Pelodiscus sinensis: one gene and its partners. The protein of the gene in region 1 interacts with the protein of each later gene in a pairwise test. Links are inferred from orthologs where the notes say so. Each region holds a gene or a part of one and is shown in the gene's direction. Other genes may lie near its edges. The genes, in order: COPG1, COPZ2 and COPZ1.

Region 1 (7,024 bases):
ATCACTAGTGAGAAACATTTATTTTTCCTCATTTAAACCTTGATTGGGAATGCAAACTTTATTCAGAGAGGAACTGTTATTTCCTGAAATGATGCCTTTAAATCCAACTGTGTGTCATCAACAGCTGGAATAACAGAACAGAGTATAAAAACAACAAATGGTCTGGTAGCACTTTATAGACTAACAAAACATGTAGACGGTATCATGAGAATCTACATATTTTGTTAAGTCTATAAAGTGCTACCAGACCATTTGTTGTTTTTTTCTGTAACAGACTAACTCGGTTACTCCCTGAAGCTTCAGAACAGAGTATGATTGTAAAGAGTACTCAGGGTGTCTCACTGGCCCTTACAGAAAGAAAATAGGAACTGGGCACAATAGGACTGCAGAAATGACCCCAAAAGCCACTCTGACCTCAGTGATAGCTCACATGTGGCAACAGACAACACACAGTGTATTACTGCAGAAAAGAACATGAACCAAGGCCCCTTCATTAATCACATTGGATTTTCTTTAATACATTCTCCAATAGTCCCCTGTAGATATGGCAGAAAGGATTAGATTTAACATTTCACAAAAGCTGTAGGTTCAATATACACCTTAAAGGTGTCTCACATCTTTCACCATAGGCTGGAAATATCATCCACTTTGAGCCTTGCTGCCTAATTCTACAGGGGTCTGGTGGAGCAGACCACTGTGCAGAAGGGATGCCGTGGCCTGACCTCATCTAGTGTGTGTTGCCAGATCCCACATCTAAAAGAAGTTATTCTCCCTTTAATTACAGCACTGAGCTTCAGCAGAAAACAGTGTTCCTGTGGCCCAAACCGGCCGCATGGAGAAACAGGAGATTAACACACACAACACTTGAAATAACCTATGTCCAGAGAAATGTTAACTTCATGGGTTATCGTTCCACAGGCTGTGTCCTTCCCCAGTCACCACCCTGCCCCCAGTCACTTCCCTACAAGCTGTGCTCCCCCAGGCACTGCTCCCCCGCCAGTCACTGCCCTACAAGCTGTGCCCCCAAGTCACTACCCTGTCCCCGGTCACTCCCCTACAAGCTGTGCCCCCAAGTCACTGCCCTGCCCCCGGTCACTTCCCTACAAGCTGTGCCCCCAAGTCACTGCCCTGCCCCCGGTCACTTCCCTACAAGCTGTGCCCCCAAGTCACTGCCCTGCCCCCAGTCACTTCCCTACAAAATGTGTCCCCAAGTCACTGCCCTGCCCCCAGTCACTGCCCTACAAGCTGTGCCCCCAAGTCACTGCCCGACAAGCTGTGCCCCAAGTCACTGCCCGACAAGCTGTGCCCCCAAGTCACTGCCTTGCCCCCAAGTCACTGCCCTACAAGCTGTGCCCCAAGTCACTACCCTGCCCCCAGTCACTGCCCTACAAGCTGTGCCCCCAAGTCACTGCCCTGCCCCCAGTCACTTCCCTACAAGCTGTGCCCCCAAGTCACTGCCCTGCCCCCAGTCGCTGCCCTACAAGCTGTGCCCCCAAGTCACTGCCCTACCCCCAGTCGCTGCCCTACAAGCTGTGCCCCCAAGTCACTGCCCTGCCCCCAGTCGCTGCCCTACAAGCTGTGCCCCCAAGTCACTGCCCTGCCCCCAGTCACTGCCCTACAAGCTGTGCCCCCAGTCACTGCCCTGCCCCCAGTCACTGCCCTACAAGCTGTGCCCCCAAGTCACTACCCTGCCCCCAGTCACTGCCCTACAAGCTGTGCCCCCAAGTCACTACCCTGCCCCGTCACTGCCCTACAAGCTGTGCCCCCAAGTCACTGCCCTGCCCCCAGTCGCTGCCCTACAAGCTGTGCCCCCAAGTCACTACCCTGCCCCGTCACTGCCCTACAAGCTGTGCCCCCAAGTCACTGCCCTGCCCCCAGTCACTTCCCTACAAGCTGTGCCCCCAAGTCACTGCCCTGCCCCCAGTCGCTTCCCTACAAGCTGTGCCCCCAAGTCACTACCCTGCCCTCAGTCGCTTCCCTACAAGCTGTGCCCCCAAGTCACTGCCCTGCCCCCAGTCGCTGCCCTACAAGCTGTGGCCCCAAGTCACTACCCTGCCCCCAGTCGCTGCCCTACAAGCTGTGCCCCAAGTCACTACCCTGCCCCCAGTCGCTGCCCTACAAGCTGTGCCCCCAAGTCACTGCCCTGCCCCCAGTCGCTGCCCTACAAGCTGGGCCCCCAAGTCACTGCCCTGCCCCTAGTCGCTTCCCTACAAGCTGTGCCCCCAAGTCACTGCCCTGCCCCCAGTCGCTGCCCTACAAGCTGTGCCCCCAAGTCACTGCCCTGCCCCCAGTCGCTGCCCTACAAGCTGTGCCCCCAAGTCACTGCCCTGCCCCCAGTCACTGCCCTACAAGCTGTGCCCCCAGTCACTGCCCTACAAGCTGTGCCCCCAAGTCACTGCCCTGCCCCCAGTCACTGCCCTACAAGCTGTGCCCCAAGTCACTGCCCTACAAGCTGTGCCCCCAGTCGCTGCCCTACAAGCTGTGCCCCAAGTCACTGCCCTGCCCCCAGTCACTGCCCTACAAGCTGTGCCCCAAGTCACTGCCCTGCCCCCAGTCGCTGCCCTACAAGCTGTGCCCCAAGTCACTGCCCTGCCCCCAGTCGCTTCCCTACAAGCTGTGCCCCAAGTCACTGCCCTGCCCCCAGTCGCTTCCCTACAAGCTGTGCCCCCAAGTCACTGCCCTGCCCCCAGTCACTGCCCTACAAGCTGTGCCCCCAGTCACTGCCCTACAAGCTGTGCCCCCAAGTCACTGCCCTGCCCCCAGTCACTGCCCTACAAGCTGTGCCCCAAGTCACTGCCCTGCCCCCAGTCGCTGCCCTACAAGCTGTGCCCCCAAGTCACTGCCCTGCCCCCAGTCGCTTCCCTACAAGCTGTGCCCCCAAGTCACTGCCCTGCCCCCAGTCGCTGCCCTACAAGCTGTGCCCCCAAGTCACTGCCCTGCCCCCAGTCGCTGCCCTACAAGCTGTGCCCCCAAGTCACTGCCCTGCCCCCAGTCCCTGCCCTACAAGCTGTGCCCCCAAGTCACTGCCCTGCCCCCAGTCGCTGCCCTACAAGCTGTGCCCCCAAGTCACTGCCCTGCCCCCAGTCGCTGCCCTACAAGCTGTGCCCCCAAGTCACTGCCCTGCCCCCAGTCGCTGCCCTACAAGCTGTGCCCCCAAGTCACTGCCCTGCCCCGTCACTGCCCTACAAGCTGTGCCCCAAGTCACTGCCCTGCCCCCAGTCGCTGCCCTACAAGCTGTGCCCCCAAGTCACTGCCCTGCCCCCAGTCGCTGCCCTACAAGCTGTGCCCCCAAGTCACTGCCCTGCCCCCAGTCGCTGCCCTACAAGCTGTGCCCCCAAGTCACTGCCCTGCCCCCAGTCGCTGCCCTACAAGCTGTGCCCCCAAGTCACTGCTCTGCCCCCAGTCGCTGCCCTACAAGCTGTGCCCCCAAGTCACTGCCCTGCCCCCAGTCGCTGCCCTACAAGCTGTGCCCCCAAGTCACTGCCCTGCCCCCAGTCGCTGCCCTACAAGCTGTGCCCCCAGTCACTGCCCTGCCCCCAGTCGCTGCCCTACAAGCTGTGCCCCCAGTCACTGCCCTGCCCCCAGTCGCTGCCCTACAAGCTGTGCCCCCAGTCACTGCCCTGCCCCCAGTCGCTGCCCTACAAGCTGTGCCCCCAGTCACTGCCCTGCCCCCAGTCGCTGCCCTACAAGCTGTGCCCCCAAGTCACTGCCCTGCCCCCAGTCGCTGCCCTACAAGCTGTGCCCCAAAATCACTGCCCTGCCCCGTCACTTCCCTACAAGCTGTGCCCCCAAGTCACTGCCCTGCCCCCAGTCGCTGCGCCGCAGGCTCTTCAGCCCCTCAGACACTCCCGTCTCCCCCATCCACTGTCCCACAGGCTCGGGGCCTCCCACGGCCACTGCCCCGCCCAGCGCTGTCGCCTCCTCCCCTGGGGCGGGCGGTGGTCCAGGCAGCCACGTCAGCCCGACCAACCTCCCTCACGCAACGCGCGTGCGCGGCGCTGTCCGGCTGAGCTGTCCCGGTGACAGGCTGGCAGGAAGCAGCGCCAAGGCCGGAAGTGGAGGTGCTGGATAGAGACCCCCCCCCGGCTCGTGCGGCCCCCGCCCTCCAGGCCCCGCGCGCCCCCCGCCCGGCGCAGGGCAGGATGCTGAAGAAGTTCGATAAGAAGGATGAGGAGGCGGGTGAGTGTGGGACGGGCCCGCCGCGGGGGGGCGGGGCGGCCGTGCCCAGCGGGGTAGAGGACCCCCCCCCCCCCCCGGCCGGGCTCTCCTTCCGAACGCGCCGCGGCTCCGGGGCTGGGCTCTGCTGGTCAGCGTCCGTCCAGCCCCTTGCCACGGGTGTCGGCCCCTTCCCGGGCTGCCCCCCAGCTAGTGACTTTTCCAGGCGGCCCCCTTAACTCTGCCCACAGCCTTCCTCAGTGGCTCTGGCGGAGCCTGCGAGCGTTGCAGACCCCCCCTCCCCCGCCCCCGCCCCAGGAAACTTTGGAGTTGGGTGGATGTTGAGCCAGCTCAGCCCTGGGAGGGCTCCGCTTTAGGGCATTGATAGCACAGGAACAACCCGCCAAATAATCCTTCATTTTCTGCCCGGATCACCTCAACTTGCTTTCCGTTGATTTATCCCCCCCCTCCCCCCCGCTGCACTGCACTGCACTGCACTGATGTCTCAAAGCGAGATGTACAATGAAGGGCAGGTGATTAAGGAGGATGCACCTGAAATGACATAGATCTCCAGCCAAACCCTAACTACTCTGTCCCCTCATGCTCTGCCTCCTCTTCCCTTCCTCCCCATGTCTTGACTCGTTGTCCCCCCCAAACTGGTCACCGGCCCATCCAGCATATGTGTGGACAGCTTTAAAAATATATGGCTGATGTATCAGATGTACCAATTGCAAGTTTATAGAGTAACCTCTGATCCTTTTAGTGGCAGCTTACATTTTGGGGTGGGTGTGTGTGTGTGTGTGTGTGTGTGTGTAGCTTACATTTTGGGGTGTGTGTGTGTGTGTGTGTGTGTGTGTGTAGCTTACATTTTGGGGTGTGTGTGTGTGTGTGTAGCTTACATTTTGGGGTGTGTGTGTGTGTGCAGCTTACATTTTGGGGTGTGTGTGTGTGTGTGTGTGTGTGTGTGCGTAGATTGCTGTTCAAGATGTTTGATGTCGATGTGAAGCAGGAGACAAGTGTTTCTCCTGGTGAAAATATTGGTGTCCTGATCTTTGCAGGAGAGTAGCACTGATACAAAAGTAGGGGTTGGGACTCAGGAGGCATGGAGATGAACACAGTATAAAAAGAAAAGTGGGGATTGGATAAGTATTGCGGAAATTATTATTGGACACACTTGATCCATGTCCTTTACACAGTATTTGAGTGCCACACAGCATTGGAGGATGGACCACAGAATTTGGAAATGGAGAAACTCAATTCAGCTCTCATGGCAGTTCAGGATGGTGAAGTAGTTCAGGGAGCTGTGCCACCTGCACTTGACACAGTAACCCTAGCTGTTCTGTATATTAATACAGGACTTACAGTAAGAAACTGACTATTTAACATGTATGTGATAGGTTATATCAGCGAGGTCCCCTCGGGACTGTCACCTGATATGCTGATCATGCCACTTAGCCTGCCAATCTGTCTTCTGGGGCTCTCCACCATCGTGCCCTGCTGGGCCAAAGCTCTCCCCCAGCCCAGGCGCAGAGTTGGGGCCATAGCTCCCTAGCAGAGCAACAAAGATGTTGAACCAGCTCAGCCCTGGGAGGACTCAGCTTTAGGGCTTTGATAGCACAGGAACATAGCCACAAAGAGGACCAAAACCCTGGGTCCCTTCTCCTGGTTTTAGCTTTTAAATGGATTAAGAGCCATCAAGCTCTCTTAATCCATTTAAAAGACTGGTGTGCAGCAAGGAGGGAGGGGGATCCTGCATGAGTCATGAATCAGCTGTCCTGGCTCATGCTGGGTCTCTCCTGCGCTTTAGCCTTTCCATTTAAAAGGCAGAGATGCAGTGGGGTTAGCTCCCGGGTGGGCTTCCTGCTTATCGACTAATTGACTCCCTGCTTGCAGATCCCGTTGCGGCTTCCTGCTTATTGACTAGTGGATGTTAAATTTAGTTTAATCAACTAATTGATGGATTTTCCATCACTACTTTGTTTTCAGGTTTCTTCCTGTGTGTCCTCTTAGCTTTTGAAATTGCCTCCCCAACCCTATCTGATGACAAAAGACTGATTTTTTTTTTTGTATAAACTTCCCAGGGTGGGAACCCTTTGTTTTATTTTCCCACCCCAAGGAAAAATACCTTATTCAAGATGGATTCCAGCACCAGGTTTCTAGGACTTACCACAGTTTGGACTTAAACGTAAAAACATACTCATTTACAGATCATTGTCTTGAGTGCTGGGCCATTAAGTTTCTTTAAATACCATTAATGGTTTTCACTAGAAGACTTACATTAATAAAACAGGTTTACATTTCATATTTCTAACTTCACATACAAGAATGAAACATGCACTGAAATAGAAGATACACATTTAGCAGATTATAACTTTAAAAATGTTACATGATGCATTTTGCTGAAAATGCCTTTGAGTTATGCATATTCATATTCATAAACCAATTTTAATAAAACACGGGGAGCCTCGTGACCATGTATATGAGAAAAATTATCGTACGTGTCAAACCACGTGTTAAAAAGCAGCCTAGAAACTGACTTATAGACTCTCCAAGGCTGTGTCTACACTGCACCCCTTTTCCAGAAAAGAGATGCAGATTAGACAAGTCGGAATTGCAAATGCAGCGGGGGATTTAAATATCCCCCGCTTCATTTGTATAAACATGGCTGCTGCTTTTTTCCGGCTCGGGGCTTTGCCGGAGAAAAGCGCCAGTCTAGACGGGATCTTTTGGAAAATAAAGCCTTTTCCGAAAGGTCCCTTATTCCTCTTAAAATCAGGAATAAGGGACCTTTCGGAAAAGGCTTTATTTTCCGAAAGATCCCTGTCTAGACTGGCGCTTTTCTCAGGCAAAGCCCCGAGCTGGAAAAAAG
Region 2 (7,282 bases), on another chromosome or scaffold:
AGCTAGTTCGAACTAAGGGCTGTGTAGCCCTTTAGTTCGAACTAGTGGGAGGCTAGCCCTCCCCAGGTTTCCCTGGTGGCCACTCTGGCCAACACCAGGGAAACTCTATGCCCCCCTCCCGGCCCCGGACCCCTTAAAGGGGCACGGGCTGGCTACGGTGCCCGTGCCAGGTGCAAGCCTGCCAGCACCCAGCTAGCAGACCCTGCACCTGGCACGGCACAGAGCCACCCACCCGATGTCCCCCAGCCCACCCCCTCTTGCCGGGACCAGGCTGGCGGCTCCCGGGAGCTTGCCCTGGACCGCAAGAGGCGGGCACCTTCCTGGGCTAGTGCGGACATCGTGGACCTCGTCCACGATCTCCGCACTAGGCACAGGAAAGTGGCCGTCTAGGGCAGGAGAGCTGCCAGCCTGGCCACCCAGGACCAGGTGTGCATGAAAATCAAGGGGGTCCACTGAGACCCCCGACACTGAGCCCTGAGCTTACAATGGCCGTACTGGGTCAGACCAAAGGTCCATCTAGCCCAGTAGCCTGTCTGCCAACAGCGGCCAACCCTAGGGACCCTGGAGGGGATGGACCGAAGACAATGACCAAGCCATTTGTCTCGTGCCATCCCTCTCCAGCCTTCCACAAACTTTGGGCAGGGACACCACTCCTACCCTCTGGCTAATAGGACTCCATGGACCCAACCTCCATGACTTGATCTCACTTCCCTTTAAACTCTGTTCTAGTTCTAGCCTTCACAGCCTCCTGCAGCAAGGAGTTCCACAGGTTAACTATTTGCTTTGTCAAGAACAACTTTCTCTTACTAGTTTCAAGCCTGCTACCCATTCCTTTCCTTTGGTGTCCTCTAGTCCTTCTTTATGGGAACTCAGGAAGAACTTTTCTGAATGCACCCTCTCCACCCAACCCCTGCTTTTAGAGACCTCTATCCTGTCCCCCCTCCGTCTCCTCTTTTCTAAGCTGAACAGTCCCAGTCTCTGTAGCCTCTCTTCATCTGGGACCTGTTCCCAACCCCTGATCATGTTAGTTGCCCTCCCCTCTCCCAGCCTTTCTCTTCCCCTCTCCCACCTCCTTTTCCCAGTCTCCCCCAGTTTTTTTCAATAAAGACAGAGTCAATGTTGGAAGAAACGTTATCTTTATTTTGTACATCAAGAAGAAGGGGGGCTAGGGAAGGGCAAGTGGAAGGAGGTGAGGGAGGAATGGGGTACGAGCCCCCGATGGGGAGGACTGGGCTGGCTCTGCGGGCTTCTGGGGGTGGAAGCTCTCCTGCAGCCCCCCAATTACTCCCTCTCCCCAGATGGCAGCCTGCGGCAAGTGCAGCCGGGCTGATGGCCGAGTGGTGTGATGTGCCCAGTGTGGGCACTCAGGGCACTCCAAGCCAGAACTTCTTTGCAAGCGGGGCACCCCTTAGAACTGTGTGTCCGGGGTGGGGGTCGGGACCCTTTAAGCGCAGCCCTCGGCTAGCCTGAGACAGTATCTCCATGCTCTAAGTCCTCCTTTTATGCCCTGCCGGCACTGCTTCCGGCCATCCTTAAGCCCTGTTCAGAGTCCACTCAATGTGGACTTACTAGTTCGAACTAGCAAAACGCTAGTTCGAACTAGTTTTTAGTTCTAGATGCGTTAGTTCGAACTAGCTTAGTTCGAATTAACTAATTCGAACTAAGTTAGTTCGAACTAGCGCTGTAGTGTAGACGTACCCTCTGTAAGTGGCCTAGGTGCCTCTCCATGGGCCAGTGACCCACACCCAGTGTGGGCTGCACATCAATCCAGCAAGCCTGTTATTTTGAAATAATTTCAAAATAACGAGCTTCTTGCTCCGACTTCTGTAACTCTCATTTCACGAGGAGTAAGGGAAGTGGAAGGAAGAGCGTTCTCCCTTCAGCTTCCTGCCATGCAGACAGCACCAAAAGCCGACTTAAGGCCCGGCTGTGAAACGCAGCACAAAGGCAGCAGCTCGGGGGGGGCTTTAAGAACCTTTTCTCCCCAGGGGTGTAGCAAGGGGGGAAGGTAGGGGGGCAGTTGCCCCTGGGCACCATGCTAGGAGGGTGCCAGTTTAGTCCCCCTCGGCTCGCCTGCTCCTCCTCCGCCCAATGCCACCAGCTGGAGCCTCATGCCCGCCCCTCCTCCATCTCCGCTGGCAGGTTAGTGGGGGGGCCAGCCCCAAACTGGAGGGGGCGGGGAAAGACGCTGTACAAGCTCCTCCTCCCAAGGTCTGGTTTAGCTGAGCGCTAGGTTCGAGGCCCTGCCACATACTGGCGGTGGGGAGGAGAGGACACAAATTTTGCTTTTGCCTCCGGGTTGCATAACACCCTTGCTACGTCTGTTTCTCCTGCAAGGTTTTGGGTAGCTCACAGGTCAGTGAGGCTCCTGGTGTGAGGAAGACCAGCCCCAGAGGCTGCCGTAATTCACAGACACACCGGTTACACCGTTCCACTGCCCTTCAACCTTTCCCGTGGGGAGTCTCCCAACAGTGCAGCGTGGTTTGAGCGTTCCCCACCACCTCTCCCGTCCGTGTCCAAACAGATCCGGACGACTGGCCCCCCCACACCAGTCACGCGCGTCGGTGACTTTAGCGAGGCCAGGAGGCCTCACGCCAATGGAAGGGCTGCTCTGTGTTTGACCAGCACAGCTCCAAAGACAGGGGAGCCGGATTCAGACCGGGCGTAAGCCTGCCCAGGAGCATTGACTTCCATAGAGCTGAAGTTGGCCCAATAAATGCCAATGCCAGCGTTCCAGGGCTTAACGGCTGGCACGAGGGGAACTGGGAGGCGAAACCGCTAACCCTTGCTCCGCCACTGATTCTTCCGGTGGCCTTAGGCAAGTCTCTGTGCTGCAGCTGACTCCGAACGGGGCCAGTAGAAGCTATTGGTGCAGAGGTCTGCACATGAGAAGCGTCTGCTGTTGCTGCCAGGGGGTGGCTTTGGGTGCTGAGTCCAGAGGCTCTTGGCTCAGTTTTCCCTGAGGAGCCGTGGGGGGGACCGGAGGTCATTGCGGCAGGTGACTCGTCCCACAGGCCTGGGCACTACACAGAGTGTCCAGCTGCTCCTCTTGCCCACTGAGGACGGGACACGGAAGGAGCCATTTAATTTGCAGCCAGGGAGACTTGGGTTAGATGTTCACAGGGGTGACCAGTGAAGGGCAACGGCTGGGACCATGGTCTGGTCCTAGACATACCCCGCACCCCCGCCTGGCACCACGTGGGTCAGCCCAGCCCAGGACGATCTGCCTGGCCCGGCCCCACAGACTGGGCTGCGCCCCAGAAGTGGCTGCAGCAGGCCTGGCTCCTAGGTGGGGAGGGGAACACACAACGCTCTGCACTCTGTGCCTGCCCCTAGCACTAGCTCCACACTCCCATGGGCTGGGAACCCGCTGCCGGGTGCCTCTGGGGGCAGCAGCATCTGCGGGGCCAGGAGAGGCAGGAAGCTGCCTTAGCCCCGCTCTGCACCACTGAGCGGGAGCCGCTTGAGGTCAGCTCCTCCTGCCCCAGCCTCCCCCCTCCCCCCGGTTCTGATGCTTCCATGGCACCCACCTAGCCATGGGTGAGACCGGCCGCCTGCGTCTGAGCCGCATGCCCCAGGGACGGGTCAGCCCGGAGCTCCCCCACGCGGTGTGGCGAGGGGGCCAGGTAGACACACCTCTGGGCCTCGTGCCCGGCTCTAGCCCCCTGCCCTGCGGGGAGGGGGGCAAAGTGGGGACACCCGGCTTCAGCAATTAAAATCTAGGGGGACATTTGACCCAGGTAGGGGTGCATGTGACCTGACGCCCTCACCCCCCCCCCCACCCCATGACACCTATGTGCTAGGCCCTCACCTCCGCCTGCGAGGTAGGGAACTGCATGGCTCCCCAGAGCCCCCCAGATTGGGGGGGCAAAGGAGGGGCACTGCTCCCCCCCACATTGCTGTAGGCTGCCCTGGGGTCTTTGAGACCAGATCTGTGCAGGGGGAGCCCTTGAGGAACTGATCCCCCCCCCCCCTCCCCGCTTCCTGACTGCAGAGGAGGCAGCTCGAGGTATTGGGGGGCGCAGCGCCCCGATCCCTCCCTTATGGGCGTGGGGGAGGGGCCTGGTTTTAGCTACAAGCCGCCCCCCCCTTTAGTGCAAGACTGTTGGGGGGCTCCGCTGTTGCGGGCGGGGGCCCCTGTTGGGCGGGGGGGACCCCGACTGGCTCCCCCCGTTAGCGCAGGCGGCCCTGGGGGGGCGCTCCCCCCAGGCCGGTCTAGCAGCGCGGGGAGCCCGGCCCCCCAGGACCGCAGCCCCAGGGGGCGCGGCGGGGCGGGGCGCGGGGCGGAGCGGCCCGGCCGAGCGCTCCGTGCCGCGGGATGCAGCGCGCCGAGGCCCGGCCACGTCAGCAGCCCGAGGGGGCTGCCCCGGGGGGCGGAGGCGGCGGGGACCGGGCAGCTGCAGCCGCCGGAGCCATGGACCCCACGGGGCTGCTGGTACGGGCGGGCTGCGGGGCCGGGGGCTGCGCGCAGCGGCGCCAACTCGCCAGCTTCCCGGCCGCGCAAAACTTTCTGCGCTGGAAGCTCCGTGGGGGGGCGGGGTTCAGGGGCGCAGGGCCGGGGAGGGGACCCCGGGGGCTGCAGGAGAGAAGAGAAGGCGAGTCCAGGAAGCAGAGCCCAGAAGGGGGACAGGGGTACAGCCCTGGGGCAGAAGAGGGGGAAAAGGGGGGCAGGAGAAGGGGGCAGCCCTGGGACAGAAGAGGGGGGCAGGGGTACAGCCCTGGGGCAGAAGAGGGGGAAAAGGGGGGCAGGAGAAGGGGGCAGCCCTGGACAGAAGAGGGGGGCAGGGGGACAGCCCTGGGGCAAAAGAGGGGGAAAAGGGGGGCAGGAGAAGGGGGCAGCCATGGGGGAGAAAAGGGGGGCAGGGGGACAGCCCTGGGGCAGAAGAGGGGGGAAGGGGGCAGGAGAAAGGGGCAGCCCTGGGACAGAAGAGGGGGGCAGGGGGACAGCCCTGGGGCAGAAGAGGGGGGAAGAGGGCAGGAGAAAGGGGCAGCCCTGGGACAGAAGAGGGGGGCAGGGGGACAGCCCTGGGGCAGAAGAGGGGGGAAAGGGGGACAGGAGAAGGGGGCAACCCTGGGACAGAAGAGGGGGGCAGGGGGACAGCCCTGGGGCAGAAGAGGGGGGAAGGGGGCAGGAGAAAGGGGCAGCCCTGGGACAGAAGAGGGGGGCAGGGGGACAGCCCTGGGGCAGAAGAGGGGGGAAAGGGGGACAGGAGAAGGGGGCAACCCTGGGACAGAAGAGGGGGGCAGGGGGACAGCCCTGGGGCAGAAGAGGGGGGAAGGGGGCAGGAGAAAGGGGCAGCCCTGGGACAGAAGAGGGGGGCAGGGGGACAGCCCTGGGGCAAAAGAGGGGGAAAAGGGGGGCAGGAGAAGGGGGCAGCCATGGGGGAGAAAAGGGGGGCAGGGGGACAGCCCTGGGACAGAAGAGGGGGGAAAGGGAGGCTGGGGAAGGGGGCAGCCATGGGGGAGAAGAGGAGGGCAGGGGGACAGCCCTGGGACAGAAGAGGGGGGAAAGGGAGGCAGGGGAATGGGGGCAGCCATGGGGGAGAAGAGGGGGTCAGGGGGACAGCCCTGGGACAGAAGAGGGGGCAGGGGAACAGCCCTGGGGCAGAAGAGGGGGACAGCCATGGGGCAGGAGAAGGGGGCAGCCATGGGGGAGAAGAGAGGGAAAGGGGGGCAGGCCTGGGGCAGAAGCGGGGAGCAGGGGGACAGCCCTGGGGCAGAAGAGGGGGGCAACTGTGGGGGGGAAGAGAGGGGGCAGTGCCAGGGGGCTGGAGGGGAGCCTGCTGCAGCCGCTGTTCTCGGCAGGCAGGCTAAAGCTCAGAGGGTCTGGGGCCAGGCCCCTCTGAGCCGTCCCAGCCCCGTCCCTTTCTCAGCCTCCGGTCCCGGGGTGAGGCCTGTCTCAGTCCTCTCGGCTCAGGTTCTGTGGTACACTTGGACTCGGACTCTGGAGCAGTCAGTGCATGACAGAACTTGGGCTTGGACGGACCCTTCCGCAGAGCGCCCGCGGCCCCCACCCCCCTCTGGCTCTCGGGCCGGGGCATCGGGCCTGGATCGGGGCCTCTGGCTTCGTGGGGAGGGCTGTGGATTGGAACCAGGCCAGGGGCTCTTTGGGCACTTCCAGAGGGCGGAGACAGCCCTGCAGCCCCCTTTCCGCCTCCTCAGGTCACTGGGGGGGGGCGACCCCGTCCCGGGGCAGGGGAGGCACCCAGGTTCTGGAGGCGCCACCGGGCCGCTGGCTTCATGCTGCCCTTGTGTCAGTTTCAGGAGCCTTCCCTCTACACGGTCAAGGCCATTTTCATCTTGGACAACGATGGACAGCGCCTCTTAGCCAAGGTAAACGCCACCTGGCCTGGAAGCTACACACTGAACCCAGGCCTCTGGCCCCCCCAGGAGACGGGCTTTGGCTCTGCCCTTCCCCACCGGCCAAGGCGCAGGTCTCCTTGGCCGCAACCCCACATGCTGAGGAGATGGAGAAAGCTACCTGGGCCAAAGCCACCTCCTGGGCCGTATGGGCCAGCACAGAGGGCACCTGTCCGGCCTTCTGGGCTCCATTCTCAGCACTGCTGAGAGCTCGGGCAAGCCATTTCGCCTCTCCGGGCCTCCCGCCGCGCTCAGAAGCCCTGTGACAGCTCTCGCGGGGAAGCAGGCCGAGCGCAGCTCCAGCAGCAGGAGAGGGCCCACGAGTGCAACGCTCCCACACTCATCTCCCGCACCTGGAAATCAGCCACTCACCTCAGAACACACGTCCTGCGTGGGGCCTGTGTGACCCGGAGGCCGGGGTGGGCAATCAGCCAGGGTTAGCCTGCGTCTCCGCAGGTACGGCCGCTTGCAGCTCCCGTTGGCCGCAGATCGCTGTTCCCGGTCAATGGGAGCGGCGGGAAGCGGGCGGGGACCCAGACACCACTTCCTACAGCTCTTATTGGCTGCAGATCGCTGTTCCCAGCCAATGGGAGAGGTGGGGACCTAGACACCACTTCCTACAGCTCCCATTGGCTGTGGATCGCTGTTCCCAGCCAATGGGAGAGGTGGGGACCCAGACACCACTTCCTACAGCTCCCATTGGCTGCGGATCGCTGTTCCCGGCCAATGAGAGCGGCAGGAAGTGGCAGGGACCTAGACACCATTTCCTACAGCTCCCATTGGCTGCGGATTGCTGTTCCCAGCCAATGAGAGCGGTGGGAAGCGGTGGGGAACTAGACACCGCTTCCTACAGTTCCCATTGGCTGGGAGCGGCGATCCACAGCCAATGGGAGCTACAAGCGGCCGTACCTGGGAGGCACAG
Region 3 (7,742 bases), on another chromosome or scaffold:
CCCTGGCCACACTGACATCCGCTCCAGCCACACCACGCCCCCGGCCACGTATCCGCTCCAGCCCGCTGGTCCCCCAGGCATTCCACTCCCCTGGCCACACTGACATCCGCTCCAGCCACACCACGCCCCCGGCCACGTATCCGCTCCAGCCCCCTGCTCCCCCGGCCACGTATCCGTTCCAGCCACGCTGCTCCCCCGGCCACGTATCCGCTCCAGCCACGCTGCTCCCCCGGCCACGTATTCGCTCCAGCCACGCTGCTCCCCCGGCCACGTATCTGCTCCAGCCCACTGCTCCCCCGGCCACGTATCTGCTCCAGCCCGCTGGTCCCCCAGGCATTCCACTCCCCTGGCCACGCTGACATCCGCTCCAGCCACACCACGCCCCCGGCCACGTATCCGCTCCAGCCCGCTGGTCCCCCGGCCACGCCACTCCCCCGGCCACGTATCTGCTCCAGCCCGCTGGTCCCCCGGCCACGCCACTCCCCCGGCCACGTATCCGCTCCAGCCCGCTGGTCCCCCGGCCACGTATCCGCTCCAGCCCACTGCTCCCCCGGCCACGTATCCGCTCCAGCCACGCTGCTCCCCCGGCCACGTATCCGCTCCAGCCCACTGCTCCCCCGGTCACGTATCCGCTCCAGCCACGCTGCTCCCCCGGCCACGTATCCGCTCCAGCCACGCTGCTCCCCCGGCCACGTATCCGCTCCAGCCCACTGCTCCCCCGGCCACGTATCCGCTCCAGCCCACTGCTCCCCCGGCCACGTATCCGCTCCAGCCCACTGCTCCCCCGGCCACGTATCCGCTCCAGCCACGCTGCTCCCCCGGCCACGTATCCGCTCCAGCCACGCTGCTCCCCGGGCCACACACCTGCTCCCTGCCTGCTGCTTTGTCCTGCTCCCCTCAGCCACACCCCCCCTCCAGCCACGCTGCTCTTCACACCAGACCACACAGGCCTTTCTTTTCTCCCCCGCCCCTCTCCTGGGATCCCCCCCTTCCCTCACCTCCTCGTACACGAGCCACTGGCCCCACTCCTCCCAGTACACCTGCCACTCCACGGGGAAGTAGGGGTTGCGGCTGGGGTCGCTGGTGTTGGAGAGGCGCCGGACGCGGTCGTAGAGCTGGTGGGGCGTCAGCTCCATGGAGTTGAGGTCGAGGGTCCAGGACGAGCCTGGCCTGGGGGGGAAGCAGGAGAGCTGTCACTGAGGGACACCCCCCCCCCCCACGCTGGCAGCGAGCATCTGGGCGACGCACCCACCTCTCCCGCCTGCCGGGCCACGTCCCCCCAGCCACCTACTTGTCCAGCAGCTGCACCTCGCGGTGGCTGGGGCTGCAGTAGAGCTTCTCCAGGAGCTGCTGGGCGGCGGGGCCCACGCTGAGCCACACCCCGTCCGCCTGGCGCCGCACCTGCCAGTGGAAGGGCTTGGGGGTGTGGTGGCGCAGGCAGCGGCCCCCCGCCGGGCACTGCCCCAGCAGGAAGTCATCGCAGATCAGGACGCCGTCTCGCTGGTGGACGTGGACCTCCTCCGGGCCGGCCAACTCCAGCACCTGCCCGCCCCGGCCCAGCCCCTGGGGCTCCGGCGCGAGCAGCAGGGGGTGCTGGGCCAAGCCGAGACGGCGGCGCTTGGGCTTCTCCGCCATCAGGGTCAGGCCCTAAGGGGGGGAGAATCAGGCCAGAGCTGGGGCCAGACTGGGTCTGGGGTTCAGCTTTCTGGGGGGCCACAGGCTGGCAGGGCGCTGGAAGGATCTGAAGGGGGATGCTACCCCCAAGGTCAGGGAACTGGTCCGGGGGGTGGGTCAGTGTTGGCCCCGACTCTGGAGCAGCTCACGCCTGATCATGGGAGGACTCCCCTAGGATTCCAGCACCGGGGGTAGGGGAATCACCCCCAATTTGCAGATGGGGAAATTGAGGCTCCGGGCCAAGGCAGGGGCTCGGCCAGCAGATCCGTGGTGGGGCTGGCAGAGGAACCCAGGTGTCCTGCGAGCCAGTCCCCTGGCCTGGCCTCCTGCCCCTCTTTCCCCCGTGCTCGGCTTATTATAGAGGGAAGCTGCCCCGATTCTCCAATCTGCAGTCCCCCCCAAAGCCGAGTCCCCCAGAGCCCCAGCGACTGGGACCACAGAGGTGAGGCCGGGGGCACAGAGCCAGCACTGCCCGGCTGCCAGGCTCCTGGGGCATTGACTCGGGGGGGGGCATGGGTCCCGGAGGCAGACAGACCGTCTCCTCCCCCACCCCTCCTCCCCATCACTCACCTCCTCTGCTGCCGGACAGGGCTCTTGCTTTTGCTTTTGCTTTGCTGAGTCACGGGTCCGCGGTGGAGAAGCCCAATCAGCCTGCCACCTGCGCAGGGCCCAGGGGCTGGGGTTTCCCCCGGCTCCCGGCCCTCCCCCCCCCCTCGCAGGGTTGCAGTGAGACCAGTCGGGGCCCGGCCCAACGCCCCACAACAGGGCAGGGCAGGCTGGGAATGGACGCCTTGCCCCCAGGAGCAGCCAGTGAGCCGGTGGTAAAGCAAGACAGAGAACCCCAGCTCCCCTCTAACTCCCTACACCCCAGCCCCTCCCCAGAGCCAGCAAGAGAAGCCAGGAGACCTGCCCCCCCCCCCCCACGTCCCGCCTCCCCATGGGCACCGCCAGGAAATACAAACACGACCTTGGCACAGCGTCTGCCTGGCCCAGCTCCACTTTCTCTTTCAGTTCCGCTCCCTGCACCACGCTGCCCGTGGCACACGGAGCCCAAGGGGGGGGCAGGACCAGCTGCACAGAGTGGCACCTCCTTGGGGGGATGTTGTGGGGAGTGGCCCTGCGGGGGGGGGGGTTGCTTTTGCTCTTCCCAGGGTGTAACCGGAGTGTGGCTTGGTCTCTCACTGCCCCCACCTGCTGCCGTCCAACCAGGCATAGGCCGGAGCCAGGCCTGAGACAGGATTCAGCGGATTTCCAGGAGGGGTGAGAGGTCTCTCAGTGCACAGGGCATCTCCAGTTCATCCCTGGCCTCTGCTCTATGCACCCCCCGCCCATGTCACTGCCGCCCCAGACCAAACCCAGTCAGCCAGCTGAGCCACGCCTCGGCTGCACCAGCTAGCCCAGAGCTGGAGCAGTCCCAGGATGGCGTCCCACCGCACGGCTGCAGCCAGGGAAGAATCCTAGGAGGGGAAGGGACCTTGAGACGTCAAGTCCAGTCCCCCGCCCTCACGGCAGGACCCAGCACCGTCTAGATCATCCCTGGCAGGCGTCTGTCCACTCTGCTCTTAGATATCTCCAGGGAGGGAGATTCCACGACCTCCCCAGGCAACTGATTCCAGCGTTTCACCCCCCGGACAGGTGGGAAGATTTTCCTCATGTCCGACCTCAACCTCCCTGGCTGCAGAGCCTTATTTGTTAAGGAACAAAATAAAGTGCCGGTGACCATAATAATAAAAGAAATCCGTCTCCGGCACAGCGAGAAGATCCGCCCGGCTGCAGAGTCTAGCTTCCCCTCTGGGCCTTATTGCTCCTTCTGTGCACGGCTGCTCCGCCCAGCCCCCTTTCAGAGGGGTTCACCCCTGTAGCCAGGGAGCCAGACTGGATTTCCTCTGAGTCCCGAGGGGCAGCCTGGCCTGTCATACGCTTTCTGCCCCTCTCTGCCGGGTGCTCCACACAGCTCGGCTTCCTCTAGCAGAGCCCACCTCTTGTTACCTCCTTCTTTCCGAACCTCTTTCCAACTGCCTCCTCCCCAGCTGAGCCCCCGTCCCTCGGCTTCAGGAGCTGCCCTCTCGCTAGGGGCGGGGTCCCTCTCCCCAGGCAGCGTTGTCTGCTGCTGCATCACAGCTGCAGGGCCCAGCACTCCCCCTCTTGCTCCAAAGTGCAGCAGAAGCTGGAGCTGGGGCAAGTGTAACCCCCGGGAGGGGGGGGGGGATTTCACACTTTTCCCCTCGTGACCCAGTTTGGAAAAAATTGCGGATGCGCGTGACCCAACGTAGTGTGGCTGGGGCCGAGGTGGGGAGCTTTGTGGGGCAGGAGGGGACTCCACTCCCACGGGCCGGGAACCCGCTGCCGGCTGCGTCTGGGGCGCAGCCCGGTGTGAGGGGCCAGGCGGAGCAGGACGCTGCCTCAGCCCCCGGTGCACTGCAGACAGGCAGCAGGTTCCCGGCCGGCGGGAGTGCGGGGCGAGTGCTCGGGGCAGGGAGCCCCGTGTGCTCCCCCCACCCCAGGAGCCAGGCCAGGCCGGGGGCTGCCTTAGCCCCCCGCTCTCCGGACCCCTGCAGCCCGGGCGACGCTCCTCAGCCCAAGGCCCTGGGCCCTGCTGGGGGGTGTCGGGGCGCGGGTCAGGGGCCCCCCCCCATGCCTGGGCCATGTGCCCCCGTGGGGCTAGCGGGGAAACTGAGGCACGGGGTGGGGGGGGTGACATATGGAGGTCACATGGGTGCACACCCCCAGGGGGAGCCATTGGCCTGCGGGGGGGAGGGGAATGACTGGCCCCGCCCACCAGCATGACTCCTCCCCCTGCCCTCAGGGTCATGACCCCCATGAAGGCGGGTCGGGGCTGCTTCCGGTCATGTGACGTGCCGGCGAGGGGCCTGACGTCACCGCTTCGCTGGTCGCCGTGGGAACTAGCCCGCCCTCCCGGCGCTGCGGCGGGGGCGGAGCGAGTGACCGACAGGGGCGCCTTCCAATCGCCGAACACGCTCTCCGAGGGCGGTGGGGCGGGGCCCAGCGGGCCCCGCCCACTTATTGGAAGCCACTTTCTGGTTGGCTGGCCGGGATAGGGTCGCCAGCCAATGAGCAGTTAGAATGCGGAAGGGGGCGGGGCCCCGAGCTGCGATTGGCGGGCGAGTAACCAATGGCGCGCGGCCCCTGTCGCTCCGGCTCCACGTAGGCATCGCGGAGGGCAAGATGGAGGCGCTGATCCTGGTAGGAGCGGGCCGGGGGAGCGGGCGCCGCCGGGGGGGGCTGAAGGGGGAGGGGCACAGCCCCGGGGGGGGAGATTGGGGAGGGGTCGCTGCTGATGGGGGAGGGGCACAGCCCCGAGGGGGGGAGATGGGGGGAGGGGCACAGCCCTGGGGGGGGGAGATGGGGGGAGGGGTCGCTGCTGAAGGGGGAGGGGCACAGCCCCGGGGGGGGGGGAGATGGGGGGAGGGGTCGCTGCTGATGGGGGAGGGGCACAGCCCCGGGGGGGAGAGATGGGGGGAGGGGTCGCTGCTGATGGGGGAGGGGCACAGCCCCGGGGGGGGGGAGATGGGGGGAGGGGTCGCTGCTGATGGGGGAGGGGCACAGCCCCGGGGGGGGGGAGATGGGGGGAGGGGTCGCTGCTGATGGGGGAGGGGCACAGCCCCGGGGGGGGGGGAGATGGGGGGAGGGGTCGCTGCTGATGGGGGAGGGGCACAGCCCCGGGGGGGGGGGAGATGGAGGGAGGGGCAGGGCTGATGGGGGAGGGGCAGCTCTGTTAAACCCTTCAGGGCAGCTCTGGTCTGGGGAGGGATCCGTGGGGCTGGAGCCAGGGTTGGGGGATGAATCTAGGGGAGTGAAAACCTCTGTGGGCTTTGTGTGTCTGGGCCAGCAGCTGTTCGAGGGCCGGGAAGGTGAACCTGCCATGTCTTGGCGCAGAAACATCCCCGGCCTCAAGCTTTTATTACCTTGTACCCCAGAGCCCAGCCGTCCGGAGGGTTGTTCTGAAGGGTGAAGTCGTTCTGTGGGTACGATTCCTTCCCAGCCAAGTAGCCGGCTGGGTGATCCGGGAAGCCCTGCTACTTGCTTGCCCGTATTTTTTGTTGGCGAGTCAGGGCTCCTGGCTTCTGTTCCCAGCTCTGCCACTGGCCAGCTGCTGGACGTGACGTCCCTGCCTCAGTTTCCGCTGCTGTCGCCATCTTTCTTTGTAAAGCGGTCGGAGGCCTACTGAGGCTGCCGACACCTGGTCTAAAGTGCCCTTCTGTCTTGCTGCCCGCAGCTCCCTGCCTCTCTCCTTTGTCTGCAGACAGATTCCCTAGTCGCCTTTGCTGCTAATAATACTAAAGTCCGAGCCACAGTGCTTGGCTGCGTGCATCTCTCCTCTGGCCCCGTGCCCTAGTTCGGGTCCTGGCAGCGAGAACCGGCTGTGGCACAGCTACTGTTTGCGTGCTGGACGGCCGAGCGCCCGCTTGCATTGGCTGAAGTCTCATTTATTGACACGTTTGAATGACACCGTCAGCCCCGTGTGTGCCCCAACGCGGGGCGTCTTGTTGGCTTGACACGGCCCTCGGCCCAAACCAAAAGCCTCCAGAGAGACCAGGCCGCAGCGTCCCGCCCGCCGGGCCCTCTGCCCCAGAAGCGCGTGTTACAGCTTTAAAACGTGGGTTGCTTCGCTGTGCTCCGCAGTGCAGCCTGGCTCCGGAGCCGTGTAAAATCCTCTGGCTTTCTCTGCCGGGCTTGCGTCTCCTTTCCGCGCAGAGGGGCTGGGAGGGGGAGAGGCAGCGCTTTTCCCTCTAGCTTGCCAGGCTACTGAGAGTTACAAGCCAGGTGCCAAAGAAGCTTGTGGCTTTTCAAGCTGCTTCCTTTGGATTGTGTAGCCCTGCCCTCCGGGTCGGTCCCCTTCGCCGCCTCTAGAGAGGCTGGGTCCAGTTGAGGGTGAGCCGTCTGGGGGGCAGGGCTTGGAGGGGAACCTAGATCTGCAGGGCTGCCCATCCAGCTGAGCCCCGCCTTGGAGGGGAATCTCCGGACCGGGACGGGATGCAGTTACGGGCCGGCGTGGGCTTGAATAAAGCAAAGTGCGTCTGCAAATCCCATCCGGCCACGTTGATTCTGTGCGCTGGTTAGTGGAGGAAGGGCAGTTTAACCCCTCACGCGCTGGGGGGGATTAAGCGAATTCGGAGTAAGGCCCCCTTAGCCCGGAGCGAGAGCGTCCACACGCTGCGTTAATGGGATTGACTCCCCATGGTGACAAGCCCAGAAGAGTCACTGGTCACTTGCGGTGCTGTCCGGGGGGGCAGCGGGTGCCTGGTGCCTCTGAGCATTGGGCCTCAGGTTGTGCGCCCCCCAGTCAGACCCTTAGGGTGCCCCACAAAAGGAGGACCCTCCCCCCATGGCTTGGTTGCTCCTGGCAGGTTCAGCCCGTGGTTTGGATTCGGGGCTGGGGCTGAGCCCGGCTTTCTGACGGGGCCCTTCCTGAGGGCAGGGGCCGCAGGATCTGGCCCATTCCCTGCCGCCTCGGCCGTGCTTGGCTCCGGGGGGAGCCCCCTCCCGAGAAGCCAGGCTCCTGTCCTCTCCCCCTGCCCCTGGAGACACAAGGAGGAGCCACTCTGGGGAGGGGCCCTTGGGGTCGCAGAGACGGGGCCCTGCCATGCTGTGCCCCAGGGAAGCCAGTCGGGGGCCCGATCCTGGACTGTGCTGGGCACTGGCGGCCTCGATGGAGGGCAGAGGGCATCCCGGGCGATTGGCTGCATGTGGGGCAGGCCCTGGCAGCCTCCCCCAGGGGCCGGTTCTCCTTGGCAGAGTCTCAGCTGCAGGGGAGGTTACCGGGCCCCGCTGGGAAGTGCCTTGCCCGCCCCTGACCCACAGGCGGGTGGGTTCCTGCCCCGTGGCCTGGCCGGGGGCCTGGGGGGCCCGTGCCCCGATGCGGAGCCGCAGCGTTTGAGGTGAAGTTCTGTGTTACACTCCGGCCGTGGCTACGAGGGGTCAGTGCATCACAGAACTTTGTCTCGAGAGCTTCTTAGCGTCTGTCTCCTGGGCCCCCCACCCCCTCGCGTGCTCTGCAGCCCTCGCCGGGGGGGTCCTGGCCCACGGGGGCTCTGCCGCAGGCTGGC

Evidence for each region.
Region 2: the proteins of COPG1 (region 1) and COPZ2 interact in a two-hybrid assay, tested with the Homo sapiens proteins (2 studies listed by BioGRID). The link is inferred for Pelodiscus sinensis from reciprocal best matches to the Homo sapiens genes COPG1 and COPZ2.
Region 3: the proteins of COPG1 (region 1) and COPZ1 interact in a two-hybrid assay, tested with the Homo sapiens proteins (2 studies listed by BioGRID). The link is inferred for Pelodiscus sinensis from reciprocal best matches to the Homo sapiens genes COPG1 and COPZ1.

What each region holds. Positions count from the first base shown.
Region 1 is NC_134721.1:25,627,714-25,634,737, reverse strand, and holds the start of COPG1 (coatomer subunit gamma-1), read left to right. Parts: upstream 1-3,991; 5' UTR 3,992-4,142; coding exon 4,143-4,179; intron 4,180-7,024. UniProt on the Homo sapiens protein: The coatomer is a cytosolic protein complex that binds to dilysine motifs and reversibly associates with Golgi non-clathrin-coated vesicles, which further mediate biosynthetic protein transport from the ER, via the Golgi up to the trans Golgi network.
Region 2 is NC_134739.1:13,715,755-13,723,036, reverse strand, and holds the start of COPZ2 (coatomer subunit zeta-2), read left to right. Parts: upstream 1-4,275; 5' UTR 4,276-4,318; coding exon 4,319-4,435; intron 4,436-6,258; coding exon 6,259-6,333; intron 6,334-7,282. UniProt on the Homo sapiens protein: The coatomer is a cytosolic protein complex that binds to dilysine motifs and reversibly associates with Golgi non-clathrin-coated vesicles, which further mediate biosynthetic protein transport from the ER, via the Golgi up to the trans Golgi network.
Region 3 is NC_134729.1:1,253,450-1,261,191, forward strand, and holds the start of COPZ1 (coatomer subunit zeta-1), read left to right. Parts: upstream 1-4,736; 5' UTR 4,737-4,758; coding exon 4,759-4,878; intron 4,879-7,742. Other genes in the region: protein mono-ADP-ribosyltransferase TIPARP-like, read right to left, coding at 999-1,170, 1,292-1,647, 2,642-2,887. UniProt on the Homo sapiens protein: The coatomer is a cytosolic protein complex that binds to dilysine motifs and reversibly associates with Golgi non-clathrin-coated vesicles, which further mediate biosynthetic protein transport from the ER, via the Golgi up to the trans Golgi network.